4 linked regions of the Notamacropus eugenii genome follow. The protein of the gene in region 1 purifies or fractionates together with the protein of each later gene. This does not show direct contact. Links are inferred from orthologs where the notes say so. Each region holds a gene or a part of one and is shown in the gene's direction. Other genes may lie near its edges. The genes, in order: NUFIP2, LSM12, ATXN2L and ATXN2.

Evidence for each region.
Region 2: the proteins of NUFIP2 (region 1) and LSM12 purify together in Homo sapiens (affinity purification with mass spectrometry; 3 studies listed by BioGRID and IntAct, counting the BioPlex papers as one, with this or other methods). This does not show direct contact. The link is inferred for Notamacropus eugenii from reciprocal best matches to the Homo sapiens genes NUFIP2 and LSM12.
Region 3: the proteins of NUFIP2 (region 1) and ATXN2L purify together in Homo sapiens (affinity purification with mass spectrometry; 4 studies listed by BioGRID and IntAct, counting the BioPlex papers as one, with this or other methods). This does not show direct contact. The link is inferred for Notamacropus eugenii from reciprocal best matches to the Homo sapiens genes NUFIP2 and ATXN2L.
Region 4: the proteins of NUFIP2 (region 1) and ATXN2 purify together in Homo sapiens (affinity purification with mass spectrometry; 3 studies listed by BioGRID and IntAct, counting the BioPlex papers as one, with this or other methods). This does not show direct contact. The link is inferred for Notamacropus eugenii from reciprocal best matches to the Homo sapiens genes NUFIP2 and ATXN2.

The regions. Positions count from the first base shown.
Region 1 is NC_092873.1:36,771,087-36,778,229, reverse strand, and holds the start of NUFIP2 (FMR1-interacting protein NUFIP2), read left to right. Parts: upstream 1-4,131; 5' UTR 4,132-4,809; coding exon 4,810-5,161; intron 5,162-7,143. UniProt on the Homo sapiens protein: Binds RNA.
Region 2 is NC_092873.1:349,979,166-349,986,432, forward strand, and holds the start of LSM12 (protein LSM12), read left to right. Parts: upstream 1-4,267; 5' UTR 4,268-4,904; coding exon 4,905-5,028; intron 5,029-7,084; coding exon 7,085-7,218; intron 7,219-7,267. Other genes in the region: G6PC3 (glucose-6-phosphatase 3), read right to left, coding at 1,509-1,726. UniProt on the Homo sapiens protein: Nicotinic acid adenine dinucleotide phosphate (NAADP) binding protein. Confers NAADP sensitivity to the two pore channel complex (TPCs) by acting as TPC accessory protein necessary for NAADP-evoked Ca(2+) release.
Region 3 is NC_092872.1:46,614,934-46,621,839, reverse strand, and holds the start of ATXN2L (ataxin-2-like protein), read left to right. Parts: upstream 1-3,892; 5' UTR 3,893-4,133; coding exon 4,134-4,420; intron 4,421-5,310; exon of another isoform or gene 5,311-5,682; intron 5,683-6,239; coding exon 6,240-6,276; intron 6,277-6,435; coding exon 6,436-6,492; intron 6,493-6,575; coding exon 6,576-6,647; intron 6,648-6,906. UniProt on the Homo sapiens protein: Involved in the regulation of stress granule and P-body formation.
Region 4 is NC_092875.1:34,609,104-34,616,499, forward strand, and holds the start of ATXN2 (ataxin-2), read left to right. Parts: upstream 1-4,393; 5' UTR 4,394-4,745; coding exon 4,746-5,023; intron 5,024-7,396. UniProt on the Homo sapiens protein: Involved in EGFR trafficking, acting as negative regulator of endocytic EGFR internalization at the plasma membrane.

The DNA.
Region 1 (7,143 bases):
CACCTAGATGGACACTAATGGGATGCCCAGAGTGAACTGGAGCTAAAAGATGCTATTTGTTCTGGTTAACCTGATTCCATGCAAGAGATTGTTCTGATGCCAATCATCCCTTTCAGGGATTACGGACCATGGAGACAAGGCGGGGCTGGCTGCCATCTGCGAGTCATGGCCCCACTAGGCAGGATGATTAGGTTCAATGGGGACTTTCTTGAGCTGTATTCTTCTAGACTTGGAATTGGAGAGAGACAAACCTGGTAGTATGAATCTGAAGCTTAGCACACAGGACACAGTGCTTTGGATTGAGAACTGTACTCTTCCCCCAGATCACTTGAGACCATTACCTCATCCATTTTCATAGCATTTTTGGGCAGACCTTTCTGCAGATGGGGACACTGAAGTGCAGACTGACGTAAAGCGAGCTTGCCAAGGGTAGAGTTAACTATGTTAATTCTGTGTGGCCAGGTCACAGATAGAAAAGAGGCAAAGGAATTTTGACCTTTGACATAATTTTTGTACTGGGCACCACACCCTATTAGTTAACCATGTCTGTGTAGTTTGGTCTGATTTAAAATATAAAGTCGTTGAAGGAAAAGGAGGGTCCACAGAATAGAAAAATGATGGACTTAGAGATGGTGGCCTTGGGTCCAAATCCTCACTCAGCCACTTAAGTGCTGCCGATTTTGGGTAATTATTTCTTCGTGTCTCACTGGCCCTCTCTGTAACATGAAGGTTAGGGTTAGGTGACCTCTAAGGTTCCTTCTTGCTCTAAACTGTTAATTCTCTATCTTTTTGGACCGGACTTGGGATTTCATGGGTGCAGGGAGCTGCTGGGAAGAAACTCCCTGCTCCCAATGGAGATCTGTATTCTCTTCATAGCTTGTGGTCTTGGAGAGTCACCTGGGACACAGAGAAGGTAAATGGTTTGTCTGTGGTCAACCTGCCAGTATGTATTAGAGGCAAGACTTGAACCCAGGTCTCCACTACTGGAGGTTAATCTCTATATTATTTTCATTGTTCTTCATTTTTTTCCAATTTGGCCTTTGTACTGGAGGAGGCTTTGTAGACATCTTACTGTCAATTGCTAAAAATGGTAGATCAAATGCTATCAATGTGGGTGCATGTCCCAGCAAAGTCATTCAGAGAAGGATGAAGGGCAGCTCAGTTTGACAGAACTCTGGAATTCAGGAGTTCATCAAGTGTGGGTCACAATTAGTGCCCTTGGCATATACTGTCTGTTAGTTAAACCCCAGAAAACACCGTCATTTGATTGAGCTCAATGGAGGCCGATTTGGCTTTTTATTCCTGACAAGATGATACTCCAAAGGCCAGATGCCTGAATCGAAACCTTTCATATCCAGAAAGTCATCTTATTCTACTTGCTGAAAGACTAACCTGAGCTCTCCTTATCTCCATCTAGTCACTCCAAAAGTCTTTTTGAAGCTTGTATCTCCAGGGAAAAATTCTGAGATCTAAAAGAAAAAAAAATGAATGAAAATTTTTTTTCTGTAATGGAATGAAACACTAGATATTTCACATTGGAAATCCTGTAATTCTGGGTGCTCTGTGACTTGCCTGATTTTGAAGTTGGAATCACCATCAGAGGTAGGTCTGATTTCCACATAAATACATTTGGACAAGGCCTTTTTTTCTCTCTAGATTATAGTTTGTGGAAAGTGAAAGTTAGTTATTACAGCTATAAAACTGGACTCTGCATTGCCAACTCCTCTGATGCTATGTGATTTCACAACAAAGAGAAGAAGCTCTGGGATGAAAGATTATTATTCCCAGAGCATTAGAACCAAGAGGGACCCCACGAAACAGAGGCCTTGAGAGGGCAAATTATTTGCCAACCAATGGAACATGAGGCATTTCTCATTAAATGTAGCAGCTTCTCCTACGTCTTTTGAGACTGAATCATAAGAGTATAAATACAAGGTGAAGGATGTATGAAAAATTATATTTTAATTTTATAACTAAAATTTTAAGGTACATTTCTGGAACCACAGAACTTGTGTGCATTTTAAAGATTTCATGAAATATTAGAACCATCGTGACTAACATTAAAAATAATAATAAATGCTTTTTCTTAGCAAAGCTCGTTCGTCTCTTAATTTTGCTGAGACCACTTACGAGCTGCAATTCTTTTCAAGTTTAGGAGTAACACAAGATGATTTGTCTAAGGCAACAGACACCCACAGCAAGAGAGAGGAAAAAAGTGTTACACCTCATCCTTGGTCTCCAGGAAGGAGAAAAAGGTTTTGGGTTTTTTTTTTTAAATGTTAAGCAGGAAATCTCAATTTCTCTTTTTAGTGTGCTATACTGCTTGCCAGATTTTAGAAACCACAAGGTAAATTAACATCTGAAAGCTATACTCATCTATTAATAAAACTGCTTTTAAATATCAGAGAGGATCTCTGAATGAAATTTTGATTTTTTTTAACCTCTTAAATCACGATAGAAGAATAAAGATCTGGGAAAAAGCTGGTGGCTTTGGGGTCACTGAGGTAGATAGAGTCACAGTACTTGAGAAGTCCTTTTATTAAAGGCATGCGGCTCCAATTTTAATAAAGAAACCCAAAAGTCAAAATGATTGACAACTGGGACAGAAGAGAAAGCACATAGGATATGCGAGGTCAGGGTATCGAAGGAATAAGTTTGGAGTTTCTCGAGTCAGGTCAACGCTGGTTTACTAACTCGTTGGAATATCAAATTCCACCCCCTTTCCCCACTTTTTTTTCCTTCTCAAAGAGCAGTAACCAGACATGACATCATTATCAGTTGAACATTGCTCATTTATAGGCAGCTTCAGGGCAAAGTATATTAAGTGGGGGGAATATATTAACTTTAATTATTTTGGGGAGCCAAGGATATAGAGTTGTCATTATAAGAGACACTGCTCTTCCCTTCAAGACAGCTTTCAGACAGGACAGAGTTCAGATATACCTACTAATTAGCTATTATGAGTGGAAAATAAATAAATGCCATCCATTTCCTGATCTCTTAAAAGTATGCTGATTCAGTATCACTGGTCACATCACATATTTAAGGAATTCAAGAGCATCCAACCTAGAATCCAGGGGGGACCCGAGTTCAAACACATGCTTAGACACTCACTAGCTATATGACCCTGGGTATGTCATTTAACTTCTCGAGTGTGCCTCAATGTCCTCATTTGTAATATCGGGATAATAATAGCACCTACCTCCCAAAGTTGTTGTGAGGATAAAACGAGATGTCTGTCAAACACTTTGCTGACCTTAAAGCGCTTTATAAATACTAGCTATTAATCCCTTAGTTGGAATACATATTGGACAAAATGGGAAAGGGCCTTAGAAAAAGTCATGCGATGTTTTTGTTTGGACGGAACTTGACCTGAAAACGTCCTAAGTATTACCAAGGTCGAGTAAACTTGGTTTGAAAGCGCTTCAGAAGAAGCCAGGAGAAGTACAGCCGAGGAGTTCCTAGACCTGGCGGCTCTGGCACGGCCGGCCCTGCGGGCACAGGACAGCAGCTCTCTCCTCCGGTCCAGGTAGCTCACTGGAAGCGAGGTAACAGGTTTGGGAAGTTCGGAGAGGAAGGCCCGCGGAAGGGAGTCCCACGGCTTTCCCAAAGCCCCCGGGGAAGTGACCTGGGAGCAGGTGGAACTCCTGGCAATCTCGTGTCTCAGGTCTGAGTCAAAGACTCGGAGGGCAGAGGTATCCCAGCCCCGCAGCGGTCTGTGAGCGGAGGGGGAAGCGAGCGCCCAGCTCGTGTGTTGGGCGGCAGCTGCAGTCCCCAACCCGGGCTTTGGATAGGTTTGGGTTCCCCGTGTTCATCTGGAAACGACCGGCCTGTGCGCGGAAACCTGTTGCTGTCTGACCCGGGAGCAGGTCTGACCTAATCCTGCGGAGAACTCATAAAAGGGAATTACAGGACTGACATCACATTTGCTTTTATAATCACATGTTGTTATGTAATAAACACGGGATTATTTTAATTGACACTCTAGGACCCGGCGCAATCCTCTTATTTCACCCTCATTTCTGTAAAGCGTGAGAAGCCCAGCTCGCCCAGCCGGCCAAGGGGATAAAGAGTATCCCCTCCTCGCTCCCCCGGCCCCTCGGGCACAAGCCCCCCACGACCCCCTCCCCAGACAAACGCCTCCCCCGCCCCGAACCCGGGGATCCGGAGGGAGACTTTCTGGCGAAGTTGGCGGGGCCTGCCCCCGGCTCTCGCGGGGAGGGTCTCCGGTCCCCAGGGCGTGGGGCCGGGGCGCGGCACGTGCCCCGAGGGCGGAAGGGGCCCAGGACCCCCGGCAGCCGCGGACTCCGGAACGACCGGCGTTTAAAAACAACCGGTGGCGCGGCCCCAGACTCCCGCGGCTCCGCCGGCCCGGCCCCGGAACGGGCGGGCGGGAGGCCCGTGGAATCTGCCGCTCCGGACGCGAGCTAGCTGCGGGGGCAGGCGTGTGGAAAGTGCTGCTGGCGGACGGCGCCGAGCCCCGGGCCGAGGCCCCGACGGCGCAGAGCCATAGTGCTGACGTTGGAGGCCCAGCCCTGTGAGGTTGCGCCGGGTAAGTGGCGCTCGGCCGGGGAGGGCCCGCCGAGAGGGCGGGGGAAGGGGAGGAGCGGGCCCGGGGGCGGGGCCTGCGGGCCGGCTCGGGCCGCCGATTGCTGGAGGGCGGCTGCCAATCTCCGAGAATCCCCCAGTCAGCCGGGGCCCTGGCGAGAGCCACTCAGATGTACGGTGTGTGCCCGGAGAGCAGCCCGAGACGGTCTGGAGACGGTGCAGCAGCCCGCAGCCCCAGCCAGGGAGTCCCCGCCGCTTTCAATGGAGGAGAAGCCCGGCCAGCCCCAGCCTCAGCCCCCGCCGCCGCCGCCGCAGTCCCAGCAGCCGCCCCAGCACAGCAGCAGCAGCCACAGCCACCACCACCCCCCGCACCACCACCACCCCCAGCAGCCGCCCCAGGCAGCGCCGGCGCCGCCGCCGCACCACCACCACCACCACCATTATTACTACTACAACCACAACCACCACCACCACCACCAGCACCACCAGCAGCCGCACCAGTACCTGCAGCACGGGCCCGACGGCAGCAGCCCCAAGGCCCAGCCCAAGCCGCTGAGACATGAGCCCAAGCACGCCCTGCAGCCGCACCAGGAAGCGCCCAAGAAGAAAACAGGTCCGGGAGCGCGGGGGGTGCGGGGCCGGGAGGGGGCCCGGGGTCACGGGGCTCGGGGACACCCTCCCGCGCCGCTGCTCCCGCCCCTGCTTCCGCCCGCCGGCCGGCGTGACCTTCCCGGGCCCCCGTCCGCCCGGCTCGGGCCCGCTGCCCTTCCACGCGGGGCGGGCGCTGCCGGGCCAGGCCGGGGCCGGGCCGAGGCCTCCCCTCCCCCGCATCCCCCGGCGCCGCCCGGCCCCGGCCCACCTGTGGACCCGGCGGGGCTGAGCCGGGAGGTGGGGGCGGGGGGCGCGGCGGGGCCGAGGCCTGGACCAGCCGTCCCTTTATCGGCCTCGTCCTCGCCGCCCCGCCCGCCCTGTCCCCTCGCTGTCCGGGCCGGGGCCGGGGCCGGCGCGGCTGGAATGTTCTCCGCTCGTCGCGGGGCCGCTTCCTGTCCGCCATGTTGGGAGCCGATTCCTGTCACAGGCCCCGGGGCCCTGCGGGGGGGGGGGCCCGCGAGCCCGGCGCGTGCCCCGCCCCCCCTTCCCTCCCCCAACCCCCGGCCTGGCCGCGGCCCGGCCCGGCCTCGCTCCCCCGGCGGCGGCCCAGCACCGGGAGCGGTTGGGGGTCGGGCCACGCGGGGAGCGGCGGCCGCGCGGCCTCCAGCCCTGCCCGGTCCGGCTCCGCCCGCGGCCTCCCTCCTCGCCAGGGGCGGTGGTTGGCCGGCCGGCCGGGCGGGAGGGGGAGGTAAGGCGGGCCGGCGGCCCGGGAGGGGCGGTGGCCGGGGCGGGGGGGGGCAGCCACGCCACACCACGCTGAGTGTTCTCGGGGGAGCGGGCCTGCGCCGCCGGCTGTTACAACGCCCGGCCCGGGGCCGCAGGGCCGAGCGAGGCCCCGCCACCGTCCCCTCCCTTTCCCCTGGCGGGCCGGGCCCCCGGCGTGCCGGCCGCGTGGAGACGGGGCCCCGGCCCCCGCCCGAGGAGAGCAGTTTGGGGGCGTTATTTTCTTAAAGCCCCCCAGGATCGTGGCCGAGCGGCCTTCCGTGGATGGCCGGGTCAGGGGGAAGGGGAGACTTTTGGGGGCCAATGTGAACCTCCGAATCCGGTGTCCGGGCTTGGGCGCAGGCCTTGGGGCGAGCGGGGGCAACTTTTCCCGGATGTTTGAGCCTTAAGTCCGGTCTGCCCCCGCTCCTGCCGCGCGGCTTCTGCCCTTGTGGGCTCTGGGGTTGAGACGGGGCCCGTCGTGGGCCGGGGAGGGGGCGCGGGACGCGGGCCCCGGGGTTTCCCTGAAAGTGCTTTGGGGGGGGAGTTTAATCCCGAAGGTCGGAGGCCGCCGAGCCCCTGGTAATAACGGAGCTAATGGCCCTCGGCGTCTGCGGGAGCAGCCGCTCGGGGAAGCCGCCGCGCTTGTTAGCGTTCGGTCTCCCGAGGAGCGGCCGCGCTCTGGGTCGACCCGGCCCGGCCGTCGTCCCTCCTGGCGGCCTCGTCCTCACGCTCCCCCCGGCGTGATGCCCCCGGGCCGCGCTTCCGAGAGGCCACCGGGAGCTCCCGAGGGGCGCCGCGCCCCCCACCTCGCCGAGCCTGGCAGGAGTGCTCGTGGTGAAACTTTGCCAGGTGGTGCCCGCACGTTGGCGAGGACTGGAGGAAGCTGGGCCCCCCAGCCGGGAGGAGAGGCCGCTCTCGGGCGGCTGCCCGCTAGGGGGCGCCCGAGGGAGGCCGCCCGGAGCCAGTGCGAGCCTGCGTCCGCAGCCGCCGGCCCTTTCCAGAACCCAGTAGAACTGGAGTCCGTTTTAAAATGGAGTTTTGTGCCCGGACAGCTGCCGGGCCTCGGGAGAAGCCGGCCGCGGAGGGTGCTTGGACGTGATGCTCGGCTGGCTGTTCTCCTGCAGTTTATGACTTGTGGGGGCTTTAAGCCTTTAAGCGCAGTCTCGTTAGCCTAGTGGGTCCTGGAGTGAGAGAAACGGTAGAAGGCCGTAAGTTAGGCCACAGCGCGGGGCTTGTCCG
Region 2 (7,267 bases), about 310 Mb from region 1:
GGAGACACAGAGAGAGATAGAGAGCTCCAATGGTACAAAGAACAGAACTGCGGAAGGAAGCAGATGGTCTGGAGATAAGAGGTAGAGGAAAAAGAGAATTGAGTAAGAAGTAGCTAGGTGTTGTAATGAATGTTGGGCTGGACTTCGAGTCAGAGTTCTATACAAATCCTGCCTCAGACACTCACTTGCTGTGTGACTCTGGACAAGTCACTTAATGCAGGTGGGCTTCTATTTCTTCATTTGGAAAATAGAGATAATAACAACCCCTACCTTCCAGGGTTGTTGTGAGGATCAAATGAGATGACACACTTACAGTAATCTGAAACCTTAAAGTGCTTATGAAGACTAGCTCTAAAAGGAAGGTTTCCAATGGCTATTGTGCTGGAACTCTGAAAAGTTTTCCTCCTCAAATTTTCCAGTGAAAGATACACCAGAAAACCCTGCCTTCTTTTTCCTCACATGGTTCACACTGATACAGGCAGAGGGAGAGAGATGGAGAGACCCAGACAGCCCTTCTTTCTCAACTTTTCTTAATCCTGCAGCATGCGTAACTTTTACTTGCCTCCTGCTTAACAATTTTGTTCACTTCTCTCCGAGGCTGGGAATGTGGCATCCTTTTGTGGGGTGATCTGGAGGAGAAGGCTGAATGCCCAGTTAGAGGCAGATCAACTCTCTCCTGTATCAAACCAGAAAAGGCAGATTGCACAGAGAGGGCCTTAAAAAAAACACCAACAGAGAATTTCTGGGATATCATTTATGGTGATACTTGACATCTTTTGTAGGGTTGTATCCCTTATCCCTAGTCTTTTCATGCTGAAGAAGGGAGGCAGGGCCTTCTACTTTGAAGGGGAAGTAGTTCTACTTAGGAGGCTCTCTTCTTTGTCTGGGAAGCACTTACTTGTGGGGGTGGGATGAGAACACAATAATGACTTAGAAAAAAGGAGTCCCTGGGTGGTAAGAGGTGGGGAGTGATTATGGGTATGTATGAAGCAGCTGTGGTTTAAATACCTACAGCTTGGGTTTAGGGATGACTATATTGGATCACGGGAGTGATGTGAGGGGTCAGTGTATGATATGACTACTGGTATCTTTCTATGTGTTTGTTGGCATGTCCTCAGGAGTGACAATCAGGGGTTAATGTATAGGGTGACAGTTGATGGTGGGGTGTGTCTATCTAGTGGATCGACAACCTAATTGGATGTCTTCTGGCATCTAAAACTCAATATAGTAAAATTAAAATAGCTCATTATACTTCCACCAACCTCACTCTTCTTTTGAATTTCTCTCTTTATATTCAGGGTACCACTCTTTTTCCAATCACCCAGCTGCATTTAGGTTTACTTCATATTTTATTTATTTCCCCTGGTAGAATATACCTGCCCTGACGGCAGGCACTATTTCATCTTTTTCTTTGTATCCTCTGCCCTTAGCATAGTGCTAGCCTTTAATACATTCCTGCTGACAACGGCCTGAGCTTTAAGTAGGGATGGCAAGGGGTTTTGTCTCACCACTTGGAGATGAGGTTGAGCCATTCTGAGAGCAGGGCGATCCAGAACACAGAAATGCCTACATGGCGACAAGCATAGTAGGCCATGGGGAAGTAGAAAAAAAAGATGCACTTGGGGTCACCGAGGAAGGTGACCCAGAGCCAGACGTCCTCCAGCCAGGGTAGCTGTCTCTGTAGAGTTTCCGCCACCACGATCCCCGCTCCCAGAGTGGACTCCATACCAGGAAGTCACAGGCCCTGGAGCCCTGACCTTGTGTTGACGGGGTAACGCTGCTTCTGAAGGGAAGAAAGCTGAGGGAGGCCAGAGGTAAGAGGAAGGCGCCTCCCACAGCCCCCACCATTTCCTTCCACCAGCATATCAAAGCAGTTCACATCCAGGGTACCACTAGCATCAGCCCTAGACGCACTTAGAGGTCTCTGCTCTCAGCTCCGCCCCCTCCGCCCTCGAAGCGACCCAGGCCCCGCCCCCTCTGCCCCAGAGCTCCCTAGATTCCGCCATCTCTTCGCCCGGCGCTAGGCCACGCCCTCTACGTCCTACAGCTCTCAGGCCCCGCCCCCTGGCCCCGAGCTTCCCTCCACGTCCCCCCCCACGTCAGTCATTCCACAAGCCTCGCCCCTGCTCTACCCGGGAAGCTCCCGCTTACCCCGCGCGGCCCCGCCTCTCGGTTTCCAGAGCACCTCAAACTCCGCCTCCAAGCCACGCGCGCGCTCCCCAGACCGCACCCCTGTCCGAGCTCGACCGCATGCCCTCTTTCTCCGGTCCCTTGCCCCGTGCTGCCCCCTCCCCCAGGGCCACAAGCTCGAGCTTTGCCCTCCAAGTAACGTTTTTCCTCCCTACCTCCCGGGTTTGTACCTCTCGCTAGGTCTTCCTTCTACGGGTCAGCGTAGGGGACAAACCTCTCGCGAGGGCGTTTTCCCCCAGACCCACGTGTCCCCAGTTCGCGTCCAGTCCGCAGCGGACGTGGGGCGGTGGCTACTTCTGCGGTCCTGGGTCAGAGGGTAGCAGGCAGGCTTTGAAGCTTGATGCTTGATGTTTGAGGAGGATGATAGCTAGTTCTCCAAGTGAGGTTTCTTTCTGCTGCCTTGTCTTATTGATAGAAAGATCCGTGGTCTCGTCAGGGCATAGGGACAGGGAAGTTCAAGGACATAACCATAGCATCCCAGGTGTGTTGTGAAAGGGGACAGCAATTTCACACACACACCTCTCTCTCTTTCTCTCTCTCTCAGGGGCGGGATGGGGGATAGAGGAGGAAAGAGTTTAATTTTTAAAATTCTAAAATTCATGTCCCCGAAGTCTATCTACCATGTAATCCAGGGAATCCAGTAGGGTTGTTTTTGTATGTAAGTATGTGTGAGTGAGAACTAGATTGAAACCGTGTTCAGTGCCCACCCATGAGGCCAACAGTTTACTAGGATTTGGAGTAACTGGAGAAAGAAATTTATGGAAACTAGAGATGATCATGTTTTTGATGAGGTCTAGGTCACAGGGTATTGTGAGGGGGGAGGCTAAGATTAGGATAAAACTTCCTAAAGCCATTTCTAGCCTGAGACATCTTTGCCCTTGGTTAGTTTTGTTGGGAGGAAAGGAAGAAATGAGCGTGGAAAAGTGGATGCCATTCAATGAAGAAACAGCAAATTTAGATAGTGAAATGATAAAGATAGCTCAATTATAAAGTGAAGTTGATACATGTTGTGGTTTGGGGTGCTGGGAACATGGAAATGCAAAGGTACAGGGGGTCTGGAAAGAATTCGACCACTCTAGCCTTTTTTCAGTCAAAATATTGAGGTTTATTTGTGTTGCCAATCTGGCTAGATTCTAAGTGAATCTTCGGTAGCCAATGGGAGTGAGCAGGATTCCTAGTGAATCTGCAACTTAATGGCAGTGAGACTGAAGCCTACCTACAAAAAGCATGGTGAAAGCATCTGGATGGGATTAAGAAGTGGTAAATAGCCAGGGGTGGTCTAGGTGCTATAGTGAAAGGAGTATTAAGTAGTCTGGGGTGGGCCTAGATTGACAGTGAAAGCCCTGTCAAACTAATTAAGTGATGGAGGTGGGCTGGGGTGGGCCAGTTACCTAGGGCAGAGGCACTGCTGACATGTATGGGAAAATTCAGGGACGGGGCTGCTTTCAAAGATATGGTCTTTTCCTTTTAGGGGTCCAGGTCCCATCAATAAATACATAATTTATATTGTGAAATGATAAAAGCTAATTTATGTAGTTAAAAAGGTAGCTGGAGTGCAGGTATGTTGACACGAGCATGATTAGAATATCTGGTTTCTAGTCTCACAAGTAGATATTGTCCACTAATATGTTGTAACCTCTTAAATTTACCTTCTTCCAGGATGGAGTGAAAATAAAATGAAGTGATATATGTGAAAAGACTACAAAAGATACTTTGTATAATCAGGTAGTATTACTTTTGATTTCACCAAGGTGTTGCAGAAGTCAGGGAGCCTTGTGCCCCTTGCTTGGCAAGAGCAATGCTTTTCCTTTCTTTTTTCTTATTAAGGACTGGAACATGTTCTTTTCTACTGACTCTGATCCAAATGAGTTTATCAGAGATTCAGGGTCAACAAAGGCAAAATCATCCCTCTAACCCATACCTCTAAACTTCTCGGTCTTTGACCTAGGATTGGATCAGCTTGAGATTCAGTCTAAAACTAAAAGAGGTCAAATGTCAAAATTTATAGGATGTGATAGGAAATGACAGTTACTAGGGTCTTGGGTCAATTCACTGCCAGCTAAACTGTTCAAGATACTAAGTCCTAACCATAAAAAGCTAAGAAATTAAAGTCTCTATCCTAAAGGAGTATATTCGTTTAATTGTATTATTTCTGCCTTAGCAGCCTTTGTCTGTTGCTTTGTTTTTCCTCTTTAACTCTGAGAGAGAACAAATGTGTGGAGTAAAAGTTATTTTCTGGGGAAGTTTAAACACAACTCTGTGTCTTAGATTGATATTTCTTTGGGGAAAATACAAAAAACCCAAACAAAACTAAAAACCGCAAAACAAAATAAAACTGAATCCAACTGGAGGGTCTCCCTTAAATTTAGGCAAGTTGTGTGTGTTAGGGGGAGGAAGGCTGGAGAAATGGATGAAGACCATCAGCTCAGTGGAGAGGATCAGATTTCACTTAGAGGAGGACACCTTTCCGGGGTTTGCACCTCCTCGTTTCTTTTGGGCCAGACTTTTGATCCCTCTCTCCCTAACTCATCCTGGCTGCCTGGTTCCTCCTCCCTTCTCTTTTCTCTCTCTCCCGCACTTCGGAGCCCCTCCCTCCCAGTTTGTCCTCTAGCCCCGCCCCCGGTATGCTGACGCCATCGCGCCGCGCGTGCGTGCCGGCGCACTGAGGGGGCCGGCCTCGCCGCTGCCCCGCCGCCCGCCGCTGCTCTCCCAAGATGGCGGCTCCTCCGGGCGAGTACTTCAGCGTTGGGAGCCAGGTTTCATGCCGAACGTGCCAAGAGCAGCGGCTGCAGGGCGAAGTGGTAGCCTTTGACTACCAGTCCAAGATGCTGGCGCTCAGTATCCTTCTCATCGAGGGCTGGCTGGCACTCCAGGCCTGACTGGCACGGGTGGGGGGGCGGCGGCGGCTGGGGCCGGGCCGGGCCGGGCCGGGTCCGGGGCCTAAGGGGCGACCGGCGACCGCGGCGCCAAGGACGCATGCGCGTGGTCAAGCCTAGTTCCTTCTTCCCCTCCTTCTGCCGCCCCCTTCCACTCCCCATTGGGGTCTCAGTTTCCTCGCGGGAGCCGGGCCTTGACGAAGGAAGGCAGAGGAGGTGGGCGGAGGGGGTTCGACACGCGGGTGGCTGTTCTGGCTGAATCCCTTAGTGAGGGGTCACTGTTTGAGGAAAGGGCTAGTGGAAGGAAGGGAGGGGCTGTAGGGTAGGGTCTGCAGTCCCCAGATGAAAGAGGGGGCCGTGGTCACGTGGGGGAGGGGGTGTGTAGGTTAGGGGTAGGTGCTTGTACCCGAAGGTAAGAGGCTCCTGAATTTGTAGAGGTTGTGTGTGTGTTTTACCTCATGGAAAGAGGCATGGGCACAGAAAATGAAACTAGGGGCCAAGGTGGGTATTCTCTGAGGATCCCCTGATGATGAAGTTTATAGGTGATCGCTGGAAAGAGACTTCAGTTACTGTTTTGTGTGTTTCTTCTTGGGGGGGGGGGGTTTGTTGGAGGCTGATATTCTAGCCGGAAAATTTCTATTTTGGGGGTGTACTCATTGAGTATCCCAGACAAAGAATAACCAAGTTTGATTCTGGGGGAGGGGTACTGATAATAAGCAGAGATGGGGGTGGGAATAATAAGAGTAATAGCTAACACTTAAAGTGATCTTAAGTTTTAAAGTGTTTTATAGGTATTTTATTTGATCCTCACAACAGCTTTGTGAGGTAAGGTAGATTCTGTTAGCCCCATTTCATAGCTGATGAAACTGAGGCTGAAGTTTAAGTGACTTGTTACACTGTTGCATAGCTAGTAAGTGACTGAATTAGACTATGACTGTGACGGGTCTTTCTGATCCTAAGCCTGGCACACTGTCTGCTGTGCCATCTACTCATGTCTAAAATGTCTAGTTTGTTTAAGGTATGGGAATTCTATTTTTTTTCTTAGGAGTGGTTCTGTCTGCAATTGTTTCAGTGATCATTTTTTGATACTTCCAGAGTGAAAGTGCATATTAAGTCTTACTGAGCCTGCTTTTCTGAAGTGGCAGACATTTAAATTCCAAATAACAATCAAACAAAAGATACCCACTTGTTTCACAGTTCTAGTATAGGAAAGTGATTTTTGAGACAACTTTCAACAGCATAGTCAACTTTTTCTAGATGCTGCAGCAGAATAGGACCTGTAAAATGAGTAACCCAGTAATCTCAGCAATCTCAACCCAGTAAAAGGATTTCTGGGATACAAGTCTGACTGATTGATGGTAGTAGTTCTAGTTTCAAGTCTACCATTAACTGTATTCTGTAAATGATTTTTTCTTTTGTAATTTCCATTGCATTTAGTAGAATATTATGTATGCCATAGATGCCCAATGAATTCTTGTCAAGTGAATGAACTGCTGGGATTACCTTGGACAGGCCAATTGCTCATCTTCAAGGTGGGGATAATACCTCCCTTTTATCTTCAACCTGATGATGAAATAAGTGGTGACATGGTGAGAAAGTACCTTGCAAAAATAAAAAATACTTTATAAACACAATGGTTATTATGCTAGAAACTACATGGGAATAAAAACTGTAAGGTATGGTGTCTTATAATTTAAAGACAAATGAGTACCCATGTTGCATAAAAGTTACATGAATTTCTATGCCAAGAACTAGCAGGAAAAAAGTGATAACATCTCGGGGATCCCAATTTTGCTCCTGTTTGTAGAGCCTGAAATCCTTTAGTTTCTGGGGTGAAGCAGGGGAAGAATGAGGTTTTGAGATTCCTTACTTCTTACTATGTTTCTTGTGAGGCCTCTTTACCACTTGCTTTTGGTGTGCATTTTCCTTAAGCCTTTCTTGAATCATGTTTTTCAGTCCCATCAGGATTTGTTGATGACTTTGGTTGCTTGTTTTCCTTAACTTTATTCTCTCTCTAGAATGTCCCTCTTCCAGTGGAAAGCCTAACCATGCAGACATCCTGCTTATAAATCTACAATTTGTCTCGGAAATTGAAATAATTAATGACCGCACAGAAACCCCTCCTCCCCTAGCTTCTCTCAATGTTAGCAAGGTAAGAATGATAGACCAAGTCTGGCTTAGAATAATGTTGGGAAGGTCTG
Region 3 (6,906 bases), on another chromosome or scaffold:
TGATATTCTGATGATGTTAACAGAGCAGCTTATTTGGGGGTAGAGGTGGCATGGGGGAACAGATGTCAGTTTGAGTTTTAGAACAAAATAGGTAGAATGCCTGATAATGTGCTCTCATTCTTAACACTTCCTGAAAGAGAAAAAAAATAAGAAAACATGTTGCTTAGTGTGCAAAGGATTCAACCAGTTGAGCCGTAGGGCAGGGAAGCTGGTACATCCTTTGAGAAAAGGGTAGAAGGCTATGCAAAAAAAGAAAATTAGAACTGAACTTATAAAACCCTGGCACATAGGTTGCAGGGAAGGTTTCATGGAGAAAAGTTAAAATATTTTTCATTGACTTTAGGTAGCTGGAACAGCCTAGTGTCTTCCTTTTTTAGGTCAGAGATTGAGGGATTTGGGGACTGAATGTAATTATTGAAGGATAACCTTAGGAAATGTCCCCAGTTCATGGAAATTCAGTACACAGTAATTAACACAAGGTTTTGAACCTAGCCACTATTTATATCACCTGACGTGAAGGAGATGGTTCAATTATTTTACATGAATTTTGAGGTTCGTTCTGGCACTCACCTGCCTGATTGCTTCAGATAACATTTGTTTATAACTTGGTATGAATGGTAGGGTTTTGCCAAACAGTAATCCATACATACATAAGTTTAAACCTGTTCACCTGATTTATACATGGGTGCTCAGTAAGTATAATGAGAGTGATTTATCTCACCACCTTCCCTGGGGCTCTGAGTAATATTCCTTTCATGCCATTCATGAAATGCACATTCAAGAAATGTTTGTTAGCTAGAATGAAGGAGGCGTGAAGGGGGAAAGACAAGTTTAGAGGCCTTTCTTCCTAACCCAGTGTTCACAGGTGAGTGGAAAGGGACTTCAGAGATCATACTCCAACAAGAATACTGCCTTACAGATTGTCATCCAGTATTTGTGTGATGACATCGAAAAGGAAGAGTCCACCACCTCCTGAGGCAGACAGATCATTTTACAGGCTCTCACAACCTTGACTGGAAAGTTTTCTTATATCAGGCATAAATTTGCCTCTGCACCTTGCATCCACTGCTTTTAGTGCTGTCCAGTCCTTCCACATGACCCCTGTCCCATCAAGGGTACTTCAGGTCACATCTACCTGTCTTCTCCTGATTATACCTCCCCAGCTCTTTCAGCCAATCCACATAACATGATCTTAAAGATGAATGTCCAGACATAAACACAGTACTCCAGATGTCCTGCCCATGCCTGTTCCTGGCTACTCTGCCTCTCACTACAGTTTCAGAGATCATTAGGGGTTTTTTTTGTTTGTCATATCCCAGAGTTGATCCATATTGAGCTTGCAATTTACTAAAGCACCTAGATCTTTTTCAGAACAATTGCTGGCTAACTCTGCCTTCTCTATCTTGCACTTGAGAATTCGATATTTTTAACCCAACTATGAATCTTTATACTTATCCCTATTAAATATCTTAGGATTAGATCGGGATTCTTCAGTTTTTTGCATTGTAGACCCAGACTCCTTTGGCATTCTGGTGAAGCCTATGTATGGACCCCCTCCTCAGAATGTTTTTAAATGGATAAAATAAGATTACAAAGGAAACCAATTAAAATTAAAAAAATTTTTAAATTTACAAAACCCAATAAAAAGTTAAGAATTACCATATCATATTTAACCCAGTATTCTAACCTAATAATTTTTTTTGTTTCTTGAGCCCTAGAAGCTATCACTCTCTACTTTGTCATATGCAAATTCAGTAAGCATGGTATCTATGCCTTTATCCAAATCACTGATAAAAATATTAAACAGCACAGCTCTCTGGGACACTTGATTACACCTTCTTCCAAGGTAACACTGAACCATTAATGGCTACTCTTTGGGTGTAGTTATTCGGCTAGTCCTGAATCCACCCAACTAAATATCATCATCTCATATTTCTTTGCATTGTCCGCAAGAATGCCACAATATACATTTTCATATATTTTGCTAAAATCGGGTAAACTATGTGCATGATATACCCCTTATTTTTACAAGTCTAATTATGCCATCAGAAAAAGAAATGTTTAGTTTGGTATTACCTATTCTCAGTGACACCATGCTGACACTTGGAGTTATTGCTTTTTTTTTTTTTTTACCAACTAGATTTTGCTAGGAAGTAAAACAGAATTTATTGGCCTATGTTTTTCAGATTTCCATTCTGCTGAATGTCTGGATATCTGCCCGTTTTCAATCTTTGTAGCACCTCTGCCAATCACCTTGTCTGTCTGGACCTCACTTTCCTCATCTGTATGTGTGTGTGGAGTGGAGGTGGATTTAGATGACCTTTAAAGCCTCTTCCAGCTCTAATCTGATTAACCTAAAATGTCTAATTGCAGATCCAAATTGTTTTAGAAAAATCTGAATGGAGATTGTTACTGAATTGGCTGGCTCCTAAAATGTTTCCAGTTCTCTTATCTCTGGATGTGACTGTTGCCTCCATATGTAACTATCCGGAGAAGGCACATTTGTGTATATATTGTTGCCTTCCTTCCTGTGGTCACTCTTCCTTCTAGCTTTCAAGGTTAGGACACTTAAAAATACGCACACACACGCACACATATATAGATATATGTATATGAAGTTGTAAAATATTTTGTAAACCTTAGTTATTATTACCCCACTACCTTAAACCCTTTGGAAGAAAAATGCTAAAAACTGTGTACATAAATACTTCTTTTTAAGTACTACCATTCCTTCACTCTTCTTGATCCTCTCTCATTCCATAAAGATGGGCCTTAGACTTTAAATGAAGGGATTGGCCTAGATCATCTCTTCCAGTGCTCCTCCTAAACCTAAGGAATCACCCATTTGTAGCCAACATACTTGTGGTTCCTGTTCATCTCCTGAGCACATTGCCTTCATTTCTCCGGTATGGGAGAGTTTAGTCTTCCAATTTTACCAAGAAAAGATGGAGAAGACAGTAATAGAGCATAGGAAACTGGCAGGCTTCATTTTAAATGAGAGCCTGCACGACATCTTCACCCAAAGCCTCCTCCCAACCTGCGGGACTTTGATGACTTGACCGGTGGGTCTTGTTCCATCAGTTGGGGAAAAGCATGACTCGAAACAAAGATGTAGAAAATTGTTCTTCTAACAGATCCAAACCACCTATTAACCAGTAACTTCAAGAGACAACCTCACCCCCCTTTTTTCCATTAGAGCTGTTAATAAAGGAACACAACTTTTTAAAAAATAGTTTATCTTCCTGAATGTATCCGAGACACCTACTAACGTAGTTAGTTGTTAACGATAATAAGCAGGTCGAAGGGACGGGAAGCAAAAGTCTAAATAAATTCTCCGTGGGCTAACAAACAAACGTAGGCTCCTTACTGCAGAGGAAACGTCAATGCCACCCGCTCCCTCCGGGCCTTTTTGCCTTCAAACCGATCCCTGTACGAGTCCCGGTAAGGCGGAAGGATAAGGGATTGCACGGCAGTACTGTGACGTTGCACATGCGGCGCTGGCTGTACTAGGTAGGAGAATCGCACATGCGCAGTGGTTACCTATAGCTGGTCTCCTTTCTTGCCCCTCCCCCAGTACTTCACACGCTCATTGTCAAGCGACGGCGGCGAGCGGGCGGTCACGGGGCGCGCCAGAGACTCCGATACCTCGCGCGCGTGCGCCTTTAGCTCTCTTCAACATTCCCCCTCCCCCACCCCCATCTCCCATTCCCTACTCTGAGTCTTCCCAGTGTACTAGGAACGCAAAATTCACCTTTCTTTGCTACCCCTTTTCGCTTAACCTAGAGCTAACCGTCTAGGTGTGAGCGCGTCTCCTCGGTCCCTCGCTCCCGGGGGCTTGCGTACGCGCGCGCACTCTCTCTTAACTCCCCCTCCCCCGCCTCATACTGTTTCTTTCGCGCACGCGCGCCGGCTCGCGCCCTCTCTCTCGCTTTCCTCAAGCCCGCGAGATCCCCCCTTCCGCCTCGCGGCGCCTTCTCGCGCCGCCGCCTCCTTGTATCCCTCACACACCGGCCCCCCCACCCGCTAACGGCGGCGCCCCCTCTTCCCAACCCCCTTCACTCCTCGCGCGCTCGGGCGGGCCCGGCCTCAGCCCAGTCCTGCCCCCCCCAACTCCCCTTCCGGACGCCGCCACCATGTTGAAGCCGCAGCCGCCTCAGCCATCTCAGCCCCAGCAGACACCCATCCAGCAACCGGCACCAGCACGCCGGCCTCCCGGGGGGACCAGCCCCCCCAACGGAAACCTCGGGGGGACCCCAGCCTCCGCCTCGGCCCCGGGGCCGCCCACTGCCGCTTCCCCAGGCCTAGGGCCTCCTGCCGGAGGCAGTGGGCTCCGCCGGGGAGCTGAGGGGGTTCTGCCGCCACAGCCGCCAACACATCAGCATCAGGAGCGGCCCGGGGGCGCTGCTACTGGCAGTACCAGGTGAAGAGGGGCTGGACGAGGGGGGATGACGGGACGTGGGACGGCCGAGGGCCCCCTGCTTGTTGGTAAACGTCTGTCTGCCATCAAGGAAGGGGCGGGAAGGAAAGCCCGCGGAGTCCCTTGACCCGGCCACTTTCGGAGGGAGACAGTGGCCAGGGTTGGGCGGTGGGCTGCCGTTGTGCCGGGGGCAGCAACGCTGAGGGTCCCCGGTCCAACTTTCCGGAGGGGTTCGGCGGGGGCTCTTGGGTTTAGCCAATGGGGATGAAAGAGGAAGCGGCGTGTGCCCCTACGGTCTGGCCAATAGAGGAGATGGGGTCCCTGAGTCGAACCAATGCAGGGTGGGGGGATCCTTCATTTCATCCCATTGTGGAAGTGGGGTTCCTAAGTCGGGCTAAATGGTGGGGCAGGATGGGGGAAGGGGCGGCCCTTTGGCCAACCAGCAGGTTGCTCAGCAGAAGGGAGCCTAGCCCTAGGGGGCTCGACTAGGTGGGAATTCTTTGCCTTGTGTAGACCGGGAAGGGTAGACTGGGCAGGATGGAATGCCCCCCATCCCCGGCCTCGGAGGAGCGAGCGAGAGTGTGTGTCTGTGTCAGTGTCCGTATCGAAGGGGGTGCATCAATGGCGGGGGCGGGGGGAGGAGGAGAGGAGGGAGGTAAAGGTGAGTAGGGTCCCCGGCTCAATTGATGTGAAGGGTCTCGCGGTCCCAAAGCTCAGCCAATGGGTGGGAAGAGGCGGGAAGGGGTCCCTAGCTATAGCCAATGGGGGGGCGTGGAGTCCATAGTTGGGCCAATGGGCAGAGAAGAAATAGGCTGCGCCTTCCCCCCGCCCCCCCCAAGGAGGGAACTGCAGACCCTGTATAACCCCCTGTGCGCGCGCGCACCCCAGTACGTGCGCGTGGAGAAGGTGCCGTCTTATGACAGGGTGTTAGGACGGCGCTCCTGGCGGCTCCGTGAGGATAGCTGTAGCCGGCGCGGTCTAGTCCAATATTCTGCGGTCTGTTTCTAAGGTCAGGGCGGGGGTGGGAGCTCGGCGGACCGCACATCTCTCGTGGAGCTTATTGAGGCTGTACGCAGGCGCTCTGGGGGCAGGAAGGCGAGCGAGCGTGAAGGAAGCCTGAGGGCTGTAGTGCGCAAGCGCTGAATGGGTGAGGCCTCCCTGTGGATAGCGTCTGCGTCTGCGCGGTCCCCTCACCCCGCCAAACGGCCCCCCCTCCCCCCAACGGCCAGTTACATCAGCCTGTGAGGACCCTGGTATCCGCGGCGGTTAGTTCTCCCCAGAATGGGTAATGGGGCTTTTCGTGTAGGGGTGGAGACAGTTGTCTTCCGTGGGCGAGCTCGGGGGCTTGCTAGAGGTGCCTTTGGCACTCTGGGGTGATGGCTTTAGATTGGCCAGTCCTAGATGGGCTCCATGTGCTTCCTTGTTCTTGTGGGTGTTGTAAACCCTGAGCCCCGTCCCCTTGCCTTGGGAGAGCTGCGGGAAGGTTGCCTCTTAATCTCGTCTCACAGAATGGTTTGGACAGAGAGCTAGGCCGTGGGCTTTGAAATGAAAATAATGCATCTCGCTCCTCCAGTTCTTTGCCTTTTTAAGATGTGGACAAGCCTGAAGGCTGTACTGGTTTATAGACTTTCATTGCTCTGTGCCTGATGAGGCCCAGGGACGTCTCTTATCCAGCCTTTCTTTACTCCTGTAAAAGATGTGGACCTTTCTTTTTTTGTTGTATGTTGAGTTAGACGTTCCTGACCCCTTTGTAGATGGGAGTGTAGGAGGGAATTGGGCAGACTTGAATAACTAAAAGTGTCCTTGTTGTTTTCTCTTATAGGGGACAGAGCACAGGAAAGGGGCCCCCACCGTCACCTGTGAGTGCCTTTCCAGTAGTTAAATTCAGGGATGTAAAAGGGTGAAGTGGGAACCACTGGGGAATCGGGCAAAAGAAATGTCAGAAAGGTAGAAGTTTAGGATACCTGATAAGCGTCTTCCCTTTACTCATTAATTTGTCATCTCCGTGTTATTTTCAGGTATTTGAGGGTGTCTACAATAACTCTAGGATGCTACACTTCCTTACTGCTGTTGTGGTATGTACCTGTCTTCTAAAGTAGTTTGGTGGGGTCTTAAATAAGTGTAATGTGAAGTCTTTAATTGTTGCTCTTTCTGCCAGGGCTCCACTTGTGATGTAAAGGTGAAAAATGGTACCACATATGAAGGTATTTTCAAGACTCTGAGTTCAAAGGTAAGTGTATTCATCAACCTGGCTTGGAAGTTAGAACCAGCTGGAAAGGGTGGTATGTGGGAGATGCAGTGCCGTCAGTCTTAAAGATCGTCGTAAAAACTCTGCCATTCTGTACAGATGTTCCTAGCCTAGCATTGCTTGCTATAATTGTTTTATATTTCATCATAATAAGCGCTGTAGCTTTGAAAAAATATTGATGGCTGGGCAGGTGTGCGTTTGTACGTTATCTCTAGCCTGATTTCTTTTCATCGTTAAGATT
Region 4 (7,396 bases), on another chromosome or scaffold:
TTCTACTTCCATTAAGGGAGATCCAGCTATTTTTATCTCCTCATTTCCAAATCCTACTCACTTCCCTATTGCCTGTGCCTCCCTCTCATGATAAACTAAGTGCTACTGGTCAAATGTCAAAACATTCTAAGTTTTTGGAGGGGGCAGCAGAGCAATATGGTGGCCTTACAATAATCTTGTGAGGCGGTTGTGCAAATTTTACTCTTCCTGTATTAGAAATGAGGAAACTGGGACTTAGAAGGTTAAATTACTTGCTTTCAAAGACACAGCCAGTAAGTATCAGGGCTAGGATTTGAACACAGGCCTCTGCCGACTTGAAGGCCACTGCTCTTTCCATTGTAGTGTACAGGAATACCTCATCTTATTGTGTTTTGTTTTTTTTCGCTTTGTAGATAGTGCAGTTTTTTTAAAACAAATTGATGGTTTGTGAGAACCCTGTGTTCTATTGGCACCATTGTCCCAACAGCATGTGTTCACATCTTGTCTCTGTGTCACATTTTGGTAATTCTCACAATATTTCAAACTTTTTCATTATTATTATATTTCTTATTGTGATCTGCCATCAGTGATCTTTAATGTTACACTTGTAACATGCCCATAAGTTGTTGAACATAGTTGATGAATGTCGTGTGTGTATGTGTGTGTGCGTGTGTGTGTTATGACTGCTCCCCTGACCACCTGTTCTGTCTCTCTCCTCCTATTCTTTGAGACACACCAATATTGAAATTAGGCTGATTAACAACCTCTAAGTAAGTGAAAGGAAGAGTCCATCGATGCCCCCAGCTTCATGGCTGTCTTATTTTAAGAAATTGCCACAGCTACCCCAACCTTCAGCAACCACCACCCTGATCAGTCAGCAGCTTGTCAACATCGAGGCAAGACTCTCTACAAGCAAAAAGAAAAAGACTCGATGAAGGCTCAGATAATGAATATCATTTTTTAGCAATAAAGTATTTTTTCGTTAAGGTATTTACATTTTTTAGACATAATACTATCAAACACTTAAGACTTCAGTGTAGTGTAAACATAACTTTTACATGAACTGGCAAAACAACAAAATTCATGTGACTGGCTTTATTTCGGTGGTCTGGAGCTGGACTTGAAATATCCCTGAGGTATGCCTCACATCTCTGTGGTCATCTATAACTGTAAAACCCATGGGCCTAGCTAATCAAGCCTAGTTGGTCTTCAGGCGCTGAAACATTCCAATACTGGAAGGTAAAGTTATCTCTTCAAAACTGATTTGTAAGCATTAAGGTCTTATATAAGTATGAGTCATTATTATTAATATTAGCTAAATGGGCAAGACATAGAAATCTGTAAAGTGAGGGGGTTAGATTATATGATTCTATAACATGTGACTTCAATACCATGGGAAACCCTGACATTCCTGCCCCTCAAGTTTCCCTTCCTGGATAAATTCAATTTCCTTTGACTGGTGGGAAAGTCATTTTCTCCATTAACGCTGAGGAGAGGCACGTGGACATCTAGTCAGAAGACTCCAAGGGATCAATGATGAGGCATCTTCTGAGGTTTTTTTTAAAAGGTAAAAAAATATGAAACACAGACTTATCACGTAGTGCCTTAAGATTTGCAAAGCATTTCTCTCACATAGCACTGATAGAGACTGTAATTTTTTTTGGCCTAGAATGACTCCAGTGCTTAGTACAGGCCTTGTCACATAGTAGGTGCAAAATAAATGCTTACTGACTGACAATAAAAATAATGTATTTATGGACTGGCATCCATAAAAAACGTGGACGTTCAGGAGCTCACATCATAGTGCATGAAACAGCGATGCATATATACTGAGTAAGATTAGTAAATTCATAAATTATATCTTAGGAAGAGTTGCCTAGACACTGAGAAATTGTGTCTTACCCAGGTCCACACTGCTGGGATGGGTTATGAATAGGATTTAAATTAGACTCTACTTAGGAGTAGCCTTAGTTCTTGTTCTCTCTTCTGAATTGAGCAACATTTATTGAGTACCTACTATGGTCCGGATACTTTGTGGACACCAATGTAAAAAAAAGTTCCTGCCTTCAAGAAATTTATTTTCTATTGCGAGACAAATCTTTTTTTTTAATTTAACATTTTATTTTTCCCCTAATTACACGTAAAAACAATTTTTAACAATTATTAACATTTTTTTAAATTCCAAATCCTCTCCTTTCTTCTCCTTCCCCCCCCCCAAATTGAGAAGGCAAGGAATTTGATATAGGTTATACATGTGCAGTCACATAAAACATATTTCCATGTAAGTATGTTATGAAAGAAAACTTTGTGCTTTGTGCTTTGATCTGCATTCCGACTCCTTCAGTTCTTTCTCTGGAGAGGTGGATAGCATTTCTCGTTGCAAATCCTTCAGAATTGTCTTGGATCACTGTATTGTTCAGAATAATTGTCATTCACAGCTGATCATCACACAATATTGCTGTTAATATACATAATGTTCTCCAGGTTCTGCTCATTTCACTTTGTATTGGTTCATTGAAGTCTTTCTGGGTTTTTCTCAGAGCATTTCTTACAGCACAAAAGTATTCAGTCACAATCATATACAACAATTTGTTCAGCCATTCCCCAATTGAAGGGGATCCCTTCAATTTTTAATTCTTGCCACCAATGAAAGAGCTGCTATAAATATTTTTGTACATATAGGTTCTTTTCCTTTCTCTGTTTTTTCTTTTGGGATACAGATCTACCAGTGGAATATCTTGGTCAAGGGGTATACATGATTTTACAGCCCTTTCGACATAATTCCAAATTGCTCTACGGAACGGCTGGATCCGTATACCACTTCAACAACAGTGGGACACAAATCTTACACTTTAACCCCTCTACACACTTTGTGATCAAAACCACATTGGCCTAGATGTTCCACTACAGGACAATCCATTCCTGGCTCCGCTGACCTGCACCTTGCTTCCTTCAAGACTTAGCTCAAATCTTGCTGTTTTCAGAGAGGCCTTTCCGCTTGTGCCTTTCCCCCTGGATTACTTTTCATGTACATATCTTGTATGTACTAAGTTATTTGGGGTAGCTAGGTGGCAAAGTGGATAGAATGCTGGGCCTTGAGTCTGGAAGACCCCTCTTTCAGAGTTCAAGTCTGGCCTCAGATACTTCCTAGCTGTGTGACCTTGGTCATCACTTCACCTGGTTTGCCTCAGTTTCCTCATCTGTAAAATGAGCTGGAGAAGGAACCAGCAAAACCGCTTCAGTATCTTTGCCAAGAAAAACCCAGATGGCAGCGCAAAGAGTTGGACACAAATGAACAGCAAAACCTTTCATGTTTGTCACCCCCGTTAGATTGGTAAGCTCCTTGTGGGCAGAGACTAAAACTTCGCCTTCTGCTAGATGCCCTTCCTTCATAACCACTCTTAATGCCAGTGACTATCTCCAACTGATCCTGCATCTGTCTTGTTTGTACATAGCTGTGTCTCCCTCTGTAAACTCCATGAGGGCAAGGACTCTTTTATCTTCTTTGTGCCCTGTGCCTGGCACGGTGCCTGGCACACAGTAGATGCTTAACGAACGTTTGGCGGCTGGTATTTTGTACCCTTAGCACTAGGGTTCGATTAATAAATGTTCAGACGTTCTTTGGACCCCAGCTCTTAGAAAGGGCCTGGCACAGGGTAGGCACTTCCTAAACTTGATGACGGACCTTCTTCGGACCAGCAGGCGCTGACTCAGGAGGCCTGGCCCCCGCGGCCCCCTGCGGAGAGGGGCGCAGCCCCACGGGGATGCTCCTAGTTATTACACTGGAGGGCAGCCAGGGGTACAAGGACTCAAGGACTCGCTATCTCTCGGGGTGACCTTGGCCAGGGGCTGCCTTTCTCCTTAACTGGAATACGGAATATAGGCTTGGCCTCCAGGTCTTCACCTGGGTTTCCCCTTGGGGTCCCCCGCTTCTCCCTCCCGTCAGGATTCTCCCTCCTCAGACGGGTGGCCTGTAACCCCCAGCCCGGGCTCGGGGTCGGGCGGCGAGAGTCCGGCCCCTTCCCTGAGCTCGGGCTCGCGTCCGAGAGGCGGGGCCTGTTACGGCCCCGCCCCCTCTGGCACCGCCCCTTCTGAGACTGCCGGCCGGTCCGCGGGAGCCCCACGTGCGGCCCTCCAGCTCTTGCTTCAGCTCCGGCCGCAGTGCCGTCTCACGCTCCCCTTCCTGTCCGGCCCCTCCGACTTCCGGAAAAGAATCCCCTCCGTCCGACCTCCCTGGACCACTCCCCACACCTGCTTTCGGGGAACATCCCCTCCTCCGCTCTTTCCTCCTATAGTGTGACCGGCCTTTGGGTTCAGGAGAGGGGTGTCTCCTTTTGAGGGTCGGCAGACAAGGGAGCGAGCAAGCGCGCGCGGTCGGAGGAGGTATCCTTCCGCCGCCGCTTGTTCCCAGGCGTCCCCCGCGTTCCGTTCGCGGCAGGTCCCCTCCGGGCCCCCGTCCCCCTCCCCCCTCCCGGCCGGTCCTTCCCTCCTCCCTCCTCCCTCCGCCCGCCTTAGACTGTTTTGGTAGCAACGGCGGCGGCGGCTCCCGGCAACTCGGTGTCGTCGGTCGGTCGGGCGGCCTTCCCCGCCCCCGACCCTCCCCACCCCGCCCCCTCCCTTCCCTCGGGCTCGGGCTCGCGGCCGCCGGCTCCTCCTCCTCGGTCTCGACCTCGGCCTCGGCCTCCTCCTGCTCCGCGGCCCCGGCCTCGCTTCTCGTCAGGCGCCCGGGCCCGGCTCGGCCCTCGGTGTATGGGCAGGTCAGCAGCATGTCCCTGAAGCCGCAGCCCCCCCAGCAGCCGCCGCAGCCTCCGCAGCCTCAGCCTCCGCAGCAACCGCAGCCGCCGCCGGCCCCGGCGCTGCCCCCGGCCCAGGCCCAGGCCCAGCCCCCGGCTCAGGCCCAGCCCCCCGCGCCCGGAGCCCTGGCGGCGGCGCCCGGGGGCGCCCGCAAGCCCGGCGGCCTCACGTCCTCGGCCTCCTCGACCTCGGCCTCCTCATCGTCGGCGGCCGGTGGCGGCGCCGGTGGAGGGCGGCAGAACCTGGGCAGGTGGGTGCGGGGGACCCCCGGCGGGCTGGGGAGGGGGGCATCCCTGGGCGGGCGGGGGGGATGGGCCGGGCCCGCGGGGTAGCGGGAGCCGCAGGAGGAGGGGGCGGCCGGGACCCGGCCGTCCTGCCCCGCAGTGGGGGAGGGGGACCGGTCACCTCGAAAACGCCCCGCGGCCGCACGGGCCGCAGCTCCTTGCCGTCGTGGCCCCGCGGCCCGAGCCTCCCAAGGGCACCGGGGCCCCTGGGTGGCGCCTGGTCATCCCGGGCCTACTGTCCCGACCGAACCTTTGGGAGACGTGTTGGCCTGGCCGCGAAGGGAGAGGGCCCCGGGGTGGGTCGGCCCGGCCCTGGCTCAGCTCGGAAAGCCAGACGGGCCCCTGGGTGGCCGAGGGACTGCAGTGGGCTCTCTTTTCCTTGGCCCTACCCAGTTATCTCTTTAACCCTTCCGGGGGAAAAAAGGACAAACCTTGAGCCCTTCGATGTTTGGGGAGCTCCGTTTAAAGGGAGGTTTACCCCGTTATTGAAACAAGAAAGCCAGTCCAAATGAATGAGGCCGTAGCTATTCCGAGGGTGATTGTGAACGCTTTTTAAACTTCGGGAAAGTCGGGCGCAGGTATTTAAAAGTTTCCAAATACTATCCAAATAGCAGACATTTCCTTATATCCCTTCCTAGGTAGCCGATTAAAAATCAGTCTGCTGCATTAGGGGGGTCGGTCTGGCGGAATATTTATAAACAGACCGGGTGGGAGAGTGGGGAGAGCCCCCGTGCCCGCGTCAGGACGTGGCCTGTGGGGGCTTGGACCAGATGACCTCAAAGCTGGCGTCCAGCTCCAGGGTTCTGTTAGGTCGCCGGTCTGACGGCCTGGGTGAAGTGGGAGGGCCACAGGGGTGGGGTGAAGGGGAGGGGGGGACCAGCGGAGTGCCACGGATTCCTTCCTACGGTCGGGAGGTTTTCTCTTAGCAGAGTTTAATGCTGTTTCCCCCACTAGGGCCTTTGTCGTAAGAGCCTTCGTTTGGCCCCTCATTGCTGTAAGCTAGTTTTTGATTTCTCCTTGCTTAAGAGTCCTTCGGTCCCCATCCTTTCAAGAACTGCATAAGATTTCTTTTGGAACATGTTGTCCCGGGGTTTGTATCATGTGAATTTATATCCTTGCTGCCGACCTCTTATTAATACTTTTAGAATCACCTTCACTTTCAGTATTATCTGAGTCCTTTTGTGAGGCTAGAAATAAAATCAAATTTCCTAGGGCTGTTTGGCTACCCCTATTTCATCTGAGTTGGAGATAAAAGTGGGTAAGACTGCACCGTAGTGAAAAAGATCACCAAAGTTTGACCTTTATGCATAGTAAGTAAAAAGACAAAGTGCAACATTAGTACATTATAGTGTTTTCTGTGAAAATGAGAACCTCATTTTCAGAAAAAAGGTTTTTTTGTTTTTAATTAAAACGGCTTTAATTTCTACTGTAGTTTGTTTCTTCACAGCACAATATGCTATGCACACAGTAGACTCTTAAATGTCCCTTTTATTGTTGTCTGAGACTCCTGTTCTGCTGACTACAGTTGTGCACATAAAAGGTGGCCTCTCTTTAGTGTGAATTTTGAGTAGTTTGCAGAATCCCTTAGGGGGTAATTTCAAAACAGAAAAATACAATCAGAATGATTATTTGAGTACTTACTGATACGTTCAGAATTAAGTGCTTTTGCCTATTATCCGGTTCCATATTTTTTTTTAATTAAAATTTTGATGCCTTTTGTGTTTCCATCAGTCGTTTCCCACATTTAATCTTTGCCTCCCCCTCATCACCCCCTTTCTATGTTGCTAAGAACCAAAGGACACAGTAACTACTTGTTACGGGATATTCAGCATTCTGCAGTCTGAGTCTCCCACCTTCAGGGGAATCAGTTAGTATTGCTCAGCACCTGCTGTGAGCCACGCTCTGGGGATATGAAGAAGGTGAAAGCCAGCCCCTGCTCTTACGGTTCTCAGTCAGATGGAGACTACAAGCAAGTAGCTGTGTACAAACAAGATGTATGCAGGGTAAATTGGAGATGATCTCCAGAGGGAAGACGTGGTGATTAAGGAGGTCTGCAAAAGACTTTTTGCAGAAGTTGAGACTTTCAGCTGAGGATGGGAAGCCAGGAGGTGGATGTGAGGAAGAGCATTCCAGGCATGGGGGATAGCCAGGGAAAATGCTCATAGTCTGTAGATTGGGGAGTAGAGGGGGGTGTCCTGAAAGGAGCAGCCAGGAGGCTGCTGCCACTGGATCTCAGTTCTGTGGAGTGGAATCAGGCATAAGAAAAATGAAAAAGTAGGAGTCGTTCTGCATGTAGAGGGATTTAAAAACCAAATAGAATTTTATATTTAGTCCTGGAG